2 linked regions of the Schizosaccharomyces pombe genome follow. The protein of the gene in region 2 binds, or shares a complex with, the protein of the main gene of each other region. Each region holds a gene or a part of one and is shown on either strand. Other genes may lie near its edges. A codon is read from its position in the direction of its gene.

Region 1 (6,049 bases), on a different chromosome or scaffold from region 2:
GGCATTAAGAAATCGCCGAATCGCAGATTCTGTTCATAAACTGAAGAAGAAGGAGTTTCTTCTGGTCTATCAGCCCGTCGACCCTGGGTAATGGTTTCCGCAGAGCTCTCAGATTGATTTATATCAGCAGGTTGAGACATTGTAGGCGGTAGTAATTGTCACAATGATTACTTTTCCGAATCAAACCCTCGCCAAATATTCTATCCCTTAAAACACCTGTACGTAGCTAAGAGGATTGAGTAAATAGGTATTTATAAAAAATTGTTGAAGGAATAGTGAGAAAGGAAGGCATGATTGGAAAGGTTGCGATCATTTTCTATTACGCATATCATAATCAGAATACCAAATTGAAAAAAAGAACGCCAATTCTACAATATCGAAGTCCTCCCATTAGTTCGTTAATGAGCATACAATGTTTACTTCGTTAAAGATTGTCGGGATGAATTGAGCTTAATCAGAGCCGAGCATCGTTGTACAGTTTACTAAATGTAGAGCTAAGCGATAATACGCTAACTTACGGTATCGGTTTTTGTAAGAATACACCGAATTTCGTTAAGTACAAAGTATTAGTAGTAGTATGAAACAAAAATAACAGTCACAGCCAAACCCAAACAATTTCAGTTACTGTGTTATATACTAGTTCATCGTAACCACAGCAAATCTCTTTCTGCAAAAGGATCAGGATGGGTATTACGAGAGATTCCCGCCACAAGCGCTCTGCTACCGGTGCTAAGCGTGCTCAATACCGTAAGAAGAGAAAATTCGAGTTGGGTCGTCAACCTTCCAACACTCGTATTGGACCTAAGCGTATCCATGAGGTTCGTGTTCGTGGTGGAAACAAGAAGTTCCGTGCTCTTCGTCTTGACTCTGGTAACTTCTCTTGGGGCTCTGAAGGTGTTTCCAAGAAGACTCGTATCATTCAAGTCGCCTACCACCCTTCTAACAACGAGTTGGTTCGTACCAACACTTTGACCAAGTCGGCCATCGTCCAAATTGATGCCGCTCCTTTCCGTGTTTGGTATGAAACTCACTACGGTATTTTGATGGGAAGCAAGGGTAAGAAGGCCACTGCTACACCTACTCCCAAATCCAAGCATGTTCAACGTAAGCATAGCGCTCGTCTTGGCGATTCTAAGGTTGATTCCGCTTTGGAAACTCAGTTTGCTGCTGGCCGTTTGTATGCTGTAGTTTCCTCTCGCCCTGGTCAATCTGGTCGTTGCGACGGCTACATCCTTGAAGGTGAAGAGTTACATTTCTACCTTCGTCGTATGGCTCCTAAGAAATAAGGTTGTTTCTTCAATAAATTAGTTCATAAAGGAAGGAATAAAAGGATTCCGAGATTGTTGTATTTCACCTGTATTGTTGATTATTATCAGTAACCAAGGTCGTTAATTATGTAGAGAAGGTAATTTTTATTATTGGCATTTAGAAAAGTGTCTGCTAAATGTTTAGTAATCTCTCCATTTGTCCCAATCAGTAATTGAAATTCGTTTATGTGCTATTAGATATGATTTCTTTACTAAATCTCATTGAACTACGTTTAGTGAAGCCTTTACCTTTTTAATAAAAATTCACGCTAAGTAGCCTTTTACACATAATGAAAGAGTTGCGAATTGCTTTGAAAGGAAAATGGCCTTTCACGTACCTTAGCTATATTGAATGATTAAAACAAGTAAAAGATATAAAAAAACTGGTTCTTTTTTTGATGCTTAAAGACTTTTTTACTGAACACAAAGTCGAATTGCCACTACGGTACGATATCCTTGTTACGGTAGCCTCAACATTTATTCCTCTTCCTCACCGCCAACATATCCTGTTGCGTGTGCCATTTCAACAACAATGTCTTATGAGGATTGTAAGTTACTAATAAAGTCATTTTTAACACCATAATAGATCAATACAATGAGACATTGACTCAGGAGGATTGTTGGACCGTGATCTCGTCGTTTTTTGAGGAAACGTCGTTAGCTCGGCAACAATTGTTCTCTTTCGATGAGTTTGTTCAAAATACTATGCAAGAAATTGTTGATGATGATTCCACTTTAACTCTAGATCAATATGCACAACACACGGGTGCTCAAGGAGATGTTACACGTCGATACGAAATAAATTTTGGACAGATTTATCTTTCAAGGCCTACAATGACTGAAGCTGATGGTAGTACAACTACTATGTTTCCTCAAGAGGCGAGGCTTCGTAACTTGACTTACTCGTCTCCTTTATACGTTGACATGCGTAAAAAAGTTATGGTTGCTGCCGATTCTAATGTTCCCATCGGCGAAGAGGAGTGGCTTGTTGAAGAAGAGGATGAAGAACCCTCAAAAGTTTTTATTGGAAAGATACCAATCATGCTCCGTTCTACTTTTTGCATTTTAAATGGTGTTAGTGATTCTGAATTGTACGATTTGAATGAGTGCCCTTATGATCAGGGAGGATACTTTATTATCAATGGCTCTGAAAAGGTAATCATTGCTCAAGAGAGATCTGCTGCCAATATTGTACAAGTATTTAAAAAAGCCGCTCCGAGCCCCATCGCTTACGTTGCTGAAATTCGCTCTGCTTTGGAACGAGGTAGTAGGCTTATTTCTTCTATGCAGATTAAGTTAATGGCACGTAATACTGAGAATTCTGGTCAGACAATTAGAGCAACACTTCCATATATCAGGAGTGACATTCCTATCGTCATCGTGTTCCGTGCTCTTGGAGTTGTACCTGATCGTGATATTTTGGAACATATATGCTACGACCCAAATGATTTCCAAATGCTTGAAATGATGAAGCCCTGTATCGAAGAAGCATTTGTGATTCAAGATAAAGATATAGCTTTGGATTACATTGGTAAAAGAGGCAGTACTACTGGTGTTACGCGTGAAAAACGTCTTCGATATGCCCATGACATTTTACAGAAAGAGCTGCTTCCGCATATTACTACAATGGAAGGTTTTGAGACTAGAAAGGCGTTTTTCTTAGGTTACATGATCCATCGTATGCTTTTGTGTGCGTTAGAGCGTCGTGAACCAGATGATCGAGATCATTTCGGGAAAAAGCGTCTTGACCTTGCAGGTCCATTACTTGCATCTCTGTTCCGTATGCTCTTTCGTAAAATGACTCGCGATGTGTATAAGTATATGCAGAAATGCGTTGAAACAAATCGTGAATTCAACCTTACCCTGGCTGTGAAGTCAAACATTATTACCAATGGTTTACGTTATTCATTGGCTACTGGTAATTGGGGAGACCAAAAACGCAGTATGGTTAATCGGGTTGGTGTATCACAAGTTCTTAACCGATATACATTCGCTTCAACTTTATCACATTTAAGACGTACAAATACTCCTATCGGTAGAGACGGAAAATTGGCTAAACCCCGTCAGTTGCACAACACACACTGGGGTATGGTTTGCCCTGCTGAAACACCAGAAGGACAAGCTTGCGGCTTAGTCAAAAATTTGTCTCTAATGAGCTATGTTTCCGTAGGTTCACCCAGTGCTCCAATTATCGAGTTTTTAGAAGAATGGGGTTTAGAAACACTGGAAGATTACAACCCTTCAGCGTCTCCTAATGCAACAAAGGTCTTCGTGAATGGTGTGTGGTTAGGAGTACATCGTGATCCAGCTCATTTAACAGAGACGCTACGCAGCCTTCGTCGTAGATTGGACATATCTGCAGAGGTTAGTATCGTTCGCGATATCCGTGAAAAAGAGCTTCGTCTCTTTACAGATGCAGGTCGTATTTGTAGACCATTATTTATTGTGGATAACAATCCTAATAGTGAAAGAAGAGGAGAGTTATGTATTCGTAAAGAGCATATCCAACAACTAATAGAGGATAAAGACAGATATGACATTGACCCCGAACAACGCTTTGGATGGACCGCTTTAGTATCTAGTGGTCTCATTGAGTATCTAGATGCAGAAGAAGAGGAGACGGTTATGATAGCAATGAGTCCGGAAGATCTTGAAGCATCACGTCAAATGCAAGCTGGGTATGAAGTTAAGGAAGAACTGGATCCTGCACAAAGAGTTAAGCCAGCTCCTAATCCTCATGTGCATGCTTGGACCCATTGTGAAATACATCCTGCGATGATTCTTGGCATCCTTGCTAGTATTATCCCTTTTCCTGATCATAATCAATCACCTCGTAATACTTATCAATCTGCAATGGGTAAACAGGCTATGGGAGTTTATCTTACAAACTACCAAGTACGAATGGATACCATGGCAAATATCCTATACTATCCACAGAAGCCGTTGGCGACTACTCGATCGATGGAGTACCTAAAGTTCCGTGAACTTCCTGCTGGCCAGAATGCTATTGTCGCCATTCTATGTTATAGTGGCTATAACCAAGAAGACTCCATTATTATGAATCAAGCTAGTATTGATCGAGGATTATTCCGCAGTATTTTCTACAGAACGTACACGGACCAAGAAAAGAAAATTGGCATGACTGTTATGGAGGAGTTTGAACGGCCGGTCCGGTCTACAACCCTAAGGATGAAACACGGTACGTACGACAAGCTTGAGGATGATGGTTTAATTGCTCCTGGCACTCGAGTGTCAGGCGAAGATATTATTATTGGTAAAACAGCTCCAATTCCCCTAGATCATGAAGAATTAGGTCAACGTACTCAGTTACATGCAAAGCGTGACGTTTCCACTCCTTTGAGAAGCACTGAAAGCGGTATTGTTGACCAAGTAATGGTCACCACTAACCAAGAAGGCTTAAAATTTGTTAAAGTTAGAATGCGAAGTACTCGTATACCCCAAATTGGTGACAAATTCGCGTCAAGGCATGGTCAAAAAGGTACCATTGGAATGACATATCGTCATGAAGATATGCCATTTTCTGCACAAGGAATTGTTCCTGATATCATCATTAATCCACACGCCATTCCGTCTCGTATGACAGTTGCTCATTTAGTCGAATGTCAACTTAGCAAGGTTTCTGCTTTATCTGGTTTTGAAGGTGATGCCACACCTTTTACAGACGTTACGGTTGAAGCGGTTTCTAAGCTGTTACGTTCACATGGCTTTCAGTCGAGAGGATTTGAAGTTATGTACCATGGTCATACTGGTAGGAAGCTTGTTGCCCAAGTTTTTCTTGGTCCCACATACTATCAGCGTCTAAAGCATTTGGTGGACGATAAAATTCACGCTCGTGCTAGAGGACCTGTGCAAATTTTGACTCGTCAACCCGTTGAAGGCAGATCTAGAGATGGTGGCCTTCGTTTTGGAGAAATGGAACGTGATTGCCAAATTTCTCATGGTTGTAGTAGTGTATTACGAGAACGTTTGTTTGATTGTTCTGATGCGTACCGAGTTATAGTATGCGATATTTGTGGTTTGATAGCGATCGCCAGTTACAAAAAAGACTCATATGAATGCCGATCATGTCAAAATCGTACTCGGTTTAGTCAAGTTTATTTACCGTATGCTGCCAAGCTTTTATTCCAAGAATTGATGTCGATGAATATTGCACCGCGGTTATTTACTAAAAACCATAAGTAGTTTTGCTTATTTGAATAAATTAATACATAAACATAGCATGAACATACAGAAGGATGATCGGTGTGATCTTAAAGAAGCTATCATTTATTTACATAAGCTACTTAAATTGTGTTCTAACAGATATATATATTATTTATATAATAATAATGTAGTTGTTACCTAATTTCGGCTTCAATTTAAAGTTCAATTTCCTTAATAATTGTAACAAAATTGTTTATAAAAACACTGGCTTCTCTTTTGGAAAATATAGACGATTGGCAGAAAAGACCAATTTCGAGGTAACCATCTCGAATTGCCAACTCAAAATCTAACTTGGGTTTGTTTCCAAACAAAATTTCACAACCATCAATGGTGGTTTCAACTTCGTTAATCTTTAGTTCCGCATTGTTGAGTTTCAACGGGTATACGCTGAAAACTTTACTTGGTTCATTGTTATCACCAGTTGACAAGAAATTTACTGCGATATCCATCATGCCATGAACAGGGAGATCCAGCAAAGATATGTATTGTAGGTTTCCCGAAATCTCATTCAAAAAAGA
Region 2 (3,110 bases):
CCTAGCAAACTTATCCTAAAAAACAAACATCATTATATTTTACGATCCTTAATCACCCATTCCGGAAGTGTTACTTATGGTCATTATCTTTGCTATAGACTTCAAGATGACATTTGGTGGAAGGCTAATGATTCTTTAATTACTAAATCATCTCTCAATGAAGCTCTCAGTCAAACTCGTTCAGCTTGTCTTTTGTTTTACGAAATGGAATCTCCTCTTGCGCTTGATTAGCGCATATATGCTAGTTAATCGTATACGTTTTTGTACCTTAATAAAAAATTCTTGATATTTCTCCTAATGATTCCGACTGATGTCACCCTTTATAAACTGTTGAAAGCTTCAAATTATAACCTGTTGTTTTGTAGCTAAAGCATTCAATACTAATATTTTGCAAAACTTGTGTATGAAAATATATGTATGTATGTATCCACCGTATCTGTCCATAAAATCGGTTTTCTTGACTTTAAGATTTTCAAGTGGACGATTTTTTATAGGCATGGTTAAAGTACACATGGCACTTTCAAACCGTCGCCAAATGACTTATAATTTACTAAAAAAAATTTTAGATATACTCATCATGTACAATTCACAGTTTTTAATGCATCAAATATCCAAAATGTTATTATTGTCATGGGTTATCCATTTAACCCCAGGACCTTCTAATTTCTCGAATTAAGCATAAGGACCTGCATATTACACCATTTTTAAGCCATTTCTCAAATTTTAAAAGTTATAATTCCGTTTTTCTCTTTTCATAGTCTGAAAACTCTAAAACTTAGCGTGCTTCGAACTGAACCATTCTCTTGGTTCTCATTTTGTACATAACACGATGCCCACACTCTCGACAACGAATAACTTCTTTCGCTTGGATTGTATTACGCGCTCCGCAATCTGATGGTCAGTCTTTTATCATATACTCATTTAATTCTACTCAATGATCATACCCGCACATAAATAAATCATAGTGGCTGGTCTGGGGGGATTGAAAGCGGTACCGCCAGTGGAGGTTGGATGATTCATTTTGTAAACTTTTTTAGTGTATTTGAGTCTAGTTAAATCCTGTGATTTTACTTCCTCACTTGAACTTTCTAATTGTGGTGGTGAGTAGTAGCGCGCAAATTTTTACTACCATACTATTCTCAATATTAACGCTTCAAAAAAAATTGGGAAGCTAATCTTATAATACATTAATGAGTTAAAAGTTCTCATTTAAAGTACTTCAAGTACATTTCCATTTATTGGATATATAAACTTCAAATATAATTTCGTATCTAATTTTGACGTTCTTTTAAATTTAACCTTTATTAAATCTAGCAAAAGAATAAAGGGCTGGATACATAATTTTAAATTTAAATCGATAAATAACTAGATTGTTTAATTTATATTTCATAACAATTATGTGTACGTGTGAGGATAAATACAATAGCTCAAAAATAATGTATTCCCCGAGTTCTCCAATTTTTAGTGTATAAATATACGATTTCTTTGTCTTGAAATTAGTCCTGGTAATTAGTTATATAAAGCATTCAGAAACACTGTATGCATTAAAGGGTAATTCCAATTGAAATAAGTGCCTTTTTTTGCAGAACTTTTATCGAGTAATATTAATTTTCCTTTCATTTTAAAAAAATAGTTTTGACTTCTAACCGCTTTTAGAAATTTAGAGGTTCCAGTAATAGAGAAATCAAGTATGAAACAACTTTAACGTTTATACTATTTCCTAATAAGCGATACATACATTTTTCGGTTACATTAGACTTTGACCATTCGAGGCTTTCCGGGAATCCCATTAACCTGGCGACTTCTCTGGCGGTAAAATACCGAAGTTGTAAAGCCATCCGGTTCCTCTCAAATTGCTCGTGCGTATTTTCATGATCTGACATCTGCAAAATTGAGCCTGCACCTTGTACTAAATGTGTATATCCCCGTGTAAAGCAACAGCAGGAAGAGCTATCTGGCTTAACTATATCAAACTGATGGCCCCATTTATTTAACACAGACTCTAGTACCATATATGAAGACCAATCTCTTTCTATCTCCAAATAATCTCTTATTCTTTTTACTTCGCCTTCTTTTTGCGCTACCTCGCTAAATTGAAAAACATCATCAATACTCCATTCTCCTTTGAAATTGAGCCTAGCCAATCCATACCATCTACTGCGAGAATTAGGAATGTTGAACTGGTTTGGACTCAAAATACCTTCAATTAGGTTGTAACCACAATTCCTCAAAACTTTCCTGCACTCTTCAGCTGCCTTGCTCTCCTCAAAACCCTGAACATTCTCAATTAGAATGTACTCAGGCAAATTATTTACATGAGGAAGCACATTTAAAATATTTAGAAATGCTTGGGAACGAGGATCAAGAATATCTTTACGGTTTCCTATTCTAGTAAAAGGTTGACAACTGGGACTCATAGTCCATAATTTACAGTCAAATGCATCAAAATCCTTGGCCGTTAAAGTTGAAATATCCATCTATAAGTATTAATATAGTTATCGAGTAAATCCTTGAAACATACGTGTTTAGCAAGTTTTCCATGATTGAGGTTATAAATTTCATTTGCCTGTGGGTTGATATCTATTGCACACACAATATCAGCCGGTATATTTGCCAGGTTCAATGCATAGTGCATACCTCCAATACCAGAATATAGCTCCAGGACCCGTAATCTTTTTGTACTAAGCATTGAATGTAACCGAGCATGCAACACTCGGTAATCGTTTAGTGAGGGTTACAAAAGACCTACCTGCATTAGATTTTTTGCTTGGATTTGTTAAGCTTGAAAAGTCATGAGCATTTCGGGCCTTTTCAAAAACGATAAAATGTTTTTTAGTATTAAAAGTAATTAATATACAACATGATGACTTAAACAAAACTGTACGTCTTTTTGAAGCTAACTAAATGAGATCTTTTAAAAGTTTGTCCATTATTGTGAAACATAAATTCATTATGATTATATACAACCAAATCGCCTTTAAAACTAATTTTCCTTTTCCACTCTTTTACCGCTTATGTCGTTTTTGCGTCTTTTGCAATTCTTCTATATTTTCTGGCTTGAAATAATGGGGGCTTATTTCCAAGAGCCACTCGGGTTGTATTTCAGTAAT

Evidence for each region. Proteins that work in one complex are often made in the same cells at the same time.
Region 1: the proteins of rpc10 (region 2) and rpb2 are in contact, whole or in part, in a crystal structure (PDB 3H0G), measured with the Schizosaccharomyces pombe proteins. Residues at the interface, in NP_595688.1 of Schizosaccharomyces pombe: Met20 (codon at 963), Tyr22 (codon at 957), Asp26 (codon at 945), Ala35 (codon at 865), Lys36 (codon at 862), Ile39 (codon at 853), His46 (codon at 832), Arg47 (codon at 829), Val48 (codon at 826), Met49 (codon at 823), Tyr50 (codon at 820), Lys51 (codon at 817), Met52 (codon at 814), Arg53 (codon at 811), Thr54 (codon at 808), Val58 (codon at 796), Gln59 (codon at 793), Phe60 (codon at 790), Arg63 (codon at 781); in NP_593101.2 of Schizosaccharomyces pombe: Glu91 (codon at 2,148), Glu103 (codon at 2,184), Arg107 (codon at 2,196), Val776 (codon at 4,203), Arg841 (codon at 4,398), Met860 (codon at 4,455), Glu862 (codon at 4,461), Glu883 (codon at 4,524), Asp884 (codon at 4,527), Asp885 (codon at 4,530), Leu887 (codon at 4,536), Ile888 (codon at 4,539), Ala889 (codon at 4,542), Pro890 (codon at 4,545), Gly891 (codon at 4,548), Arg893 (codon at 4,554), Ile937 (codon at 4,686), Asp939 (codon at 4,692), Gln940 (codon at 4,695), Val941 (codon at 4,698), Met942 (codon at 4,701), Val943 (codon at 4,704), Thr944 (codon at 4,707), Thr945 (codon at 4,710), Leu950 (codon at 4,725), Lys951 (codon at 4,728), Arg958 (codon at 4,749).

The regions. Positions count from the first base shown.
Region 1 is NC_003424.3:848,837-854,885, forward strand, and holds rpb2 (DNA-directed RNA polymerase II complex subunit Rpb2), read left to right. Parts: upstream 1-1,799; 5' UTR 1,800-1,839; coding exon 1,840-1,855; exon of another isoform or gene 1,856-1,893; coding exon 1,894-5,510; 3' UTR 5,511-5,549; downstream 5,550-6,049. Other genes in the region: sst1 (calcium permease), read right to left, coding at 1-140; rps802 (40S ribosomal protein eS8), read left to right, coding at 684-1,286; ferrichrome synthetase Sib1, read right to left, coding at 5,687-6,049. UniProt on the Schizosaccharomyces pombe protein: DNA-dependent RNA polymerase catalyzes the transcription of DNA into RNA using the four ribonucleoside triphosphates as substrates. Second largest component of RNA polymerase II which synthesizes mRNA precursors and many functional non-coding RNAs.
Region 2 is NC_003423.3:1,673,645-1,676,754, reverse strand, and holds rpc10 (DNA-directed RNA polymerase subunit Rpc10), read right to left. Parts: upstream 1,117-3,110; 5' UTR 1,021-1,116; coding exon 945-1,020; exon of another isoform or gene 892-944; coding exon 776-891; 3' UTR 567-775; downstream 1-566. Other genes in the region: ubiquitin hydrolase Ubp11, read left to right, coding at 1-231; pmt1 (DNA methyltransferase), read right to left, coding at 1,653-2,477, 2,522-2,689; ATP-dependent RNA helicase Cdc28, read right to left, coding at 3,006-3,110. UniProt on the Schizosaccharomyces pombe protein: DNA-dependent RNA polymerase catalyzes the transcription of DNA into RNA using the four ribonucleoside triphosphates as substrates.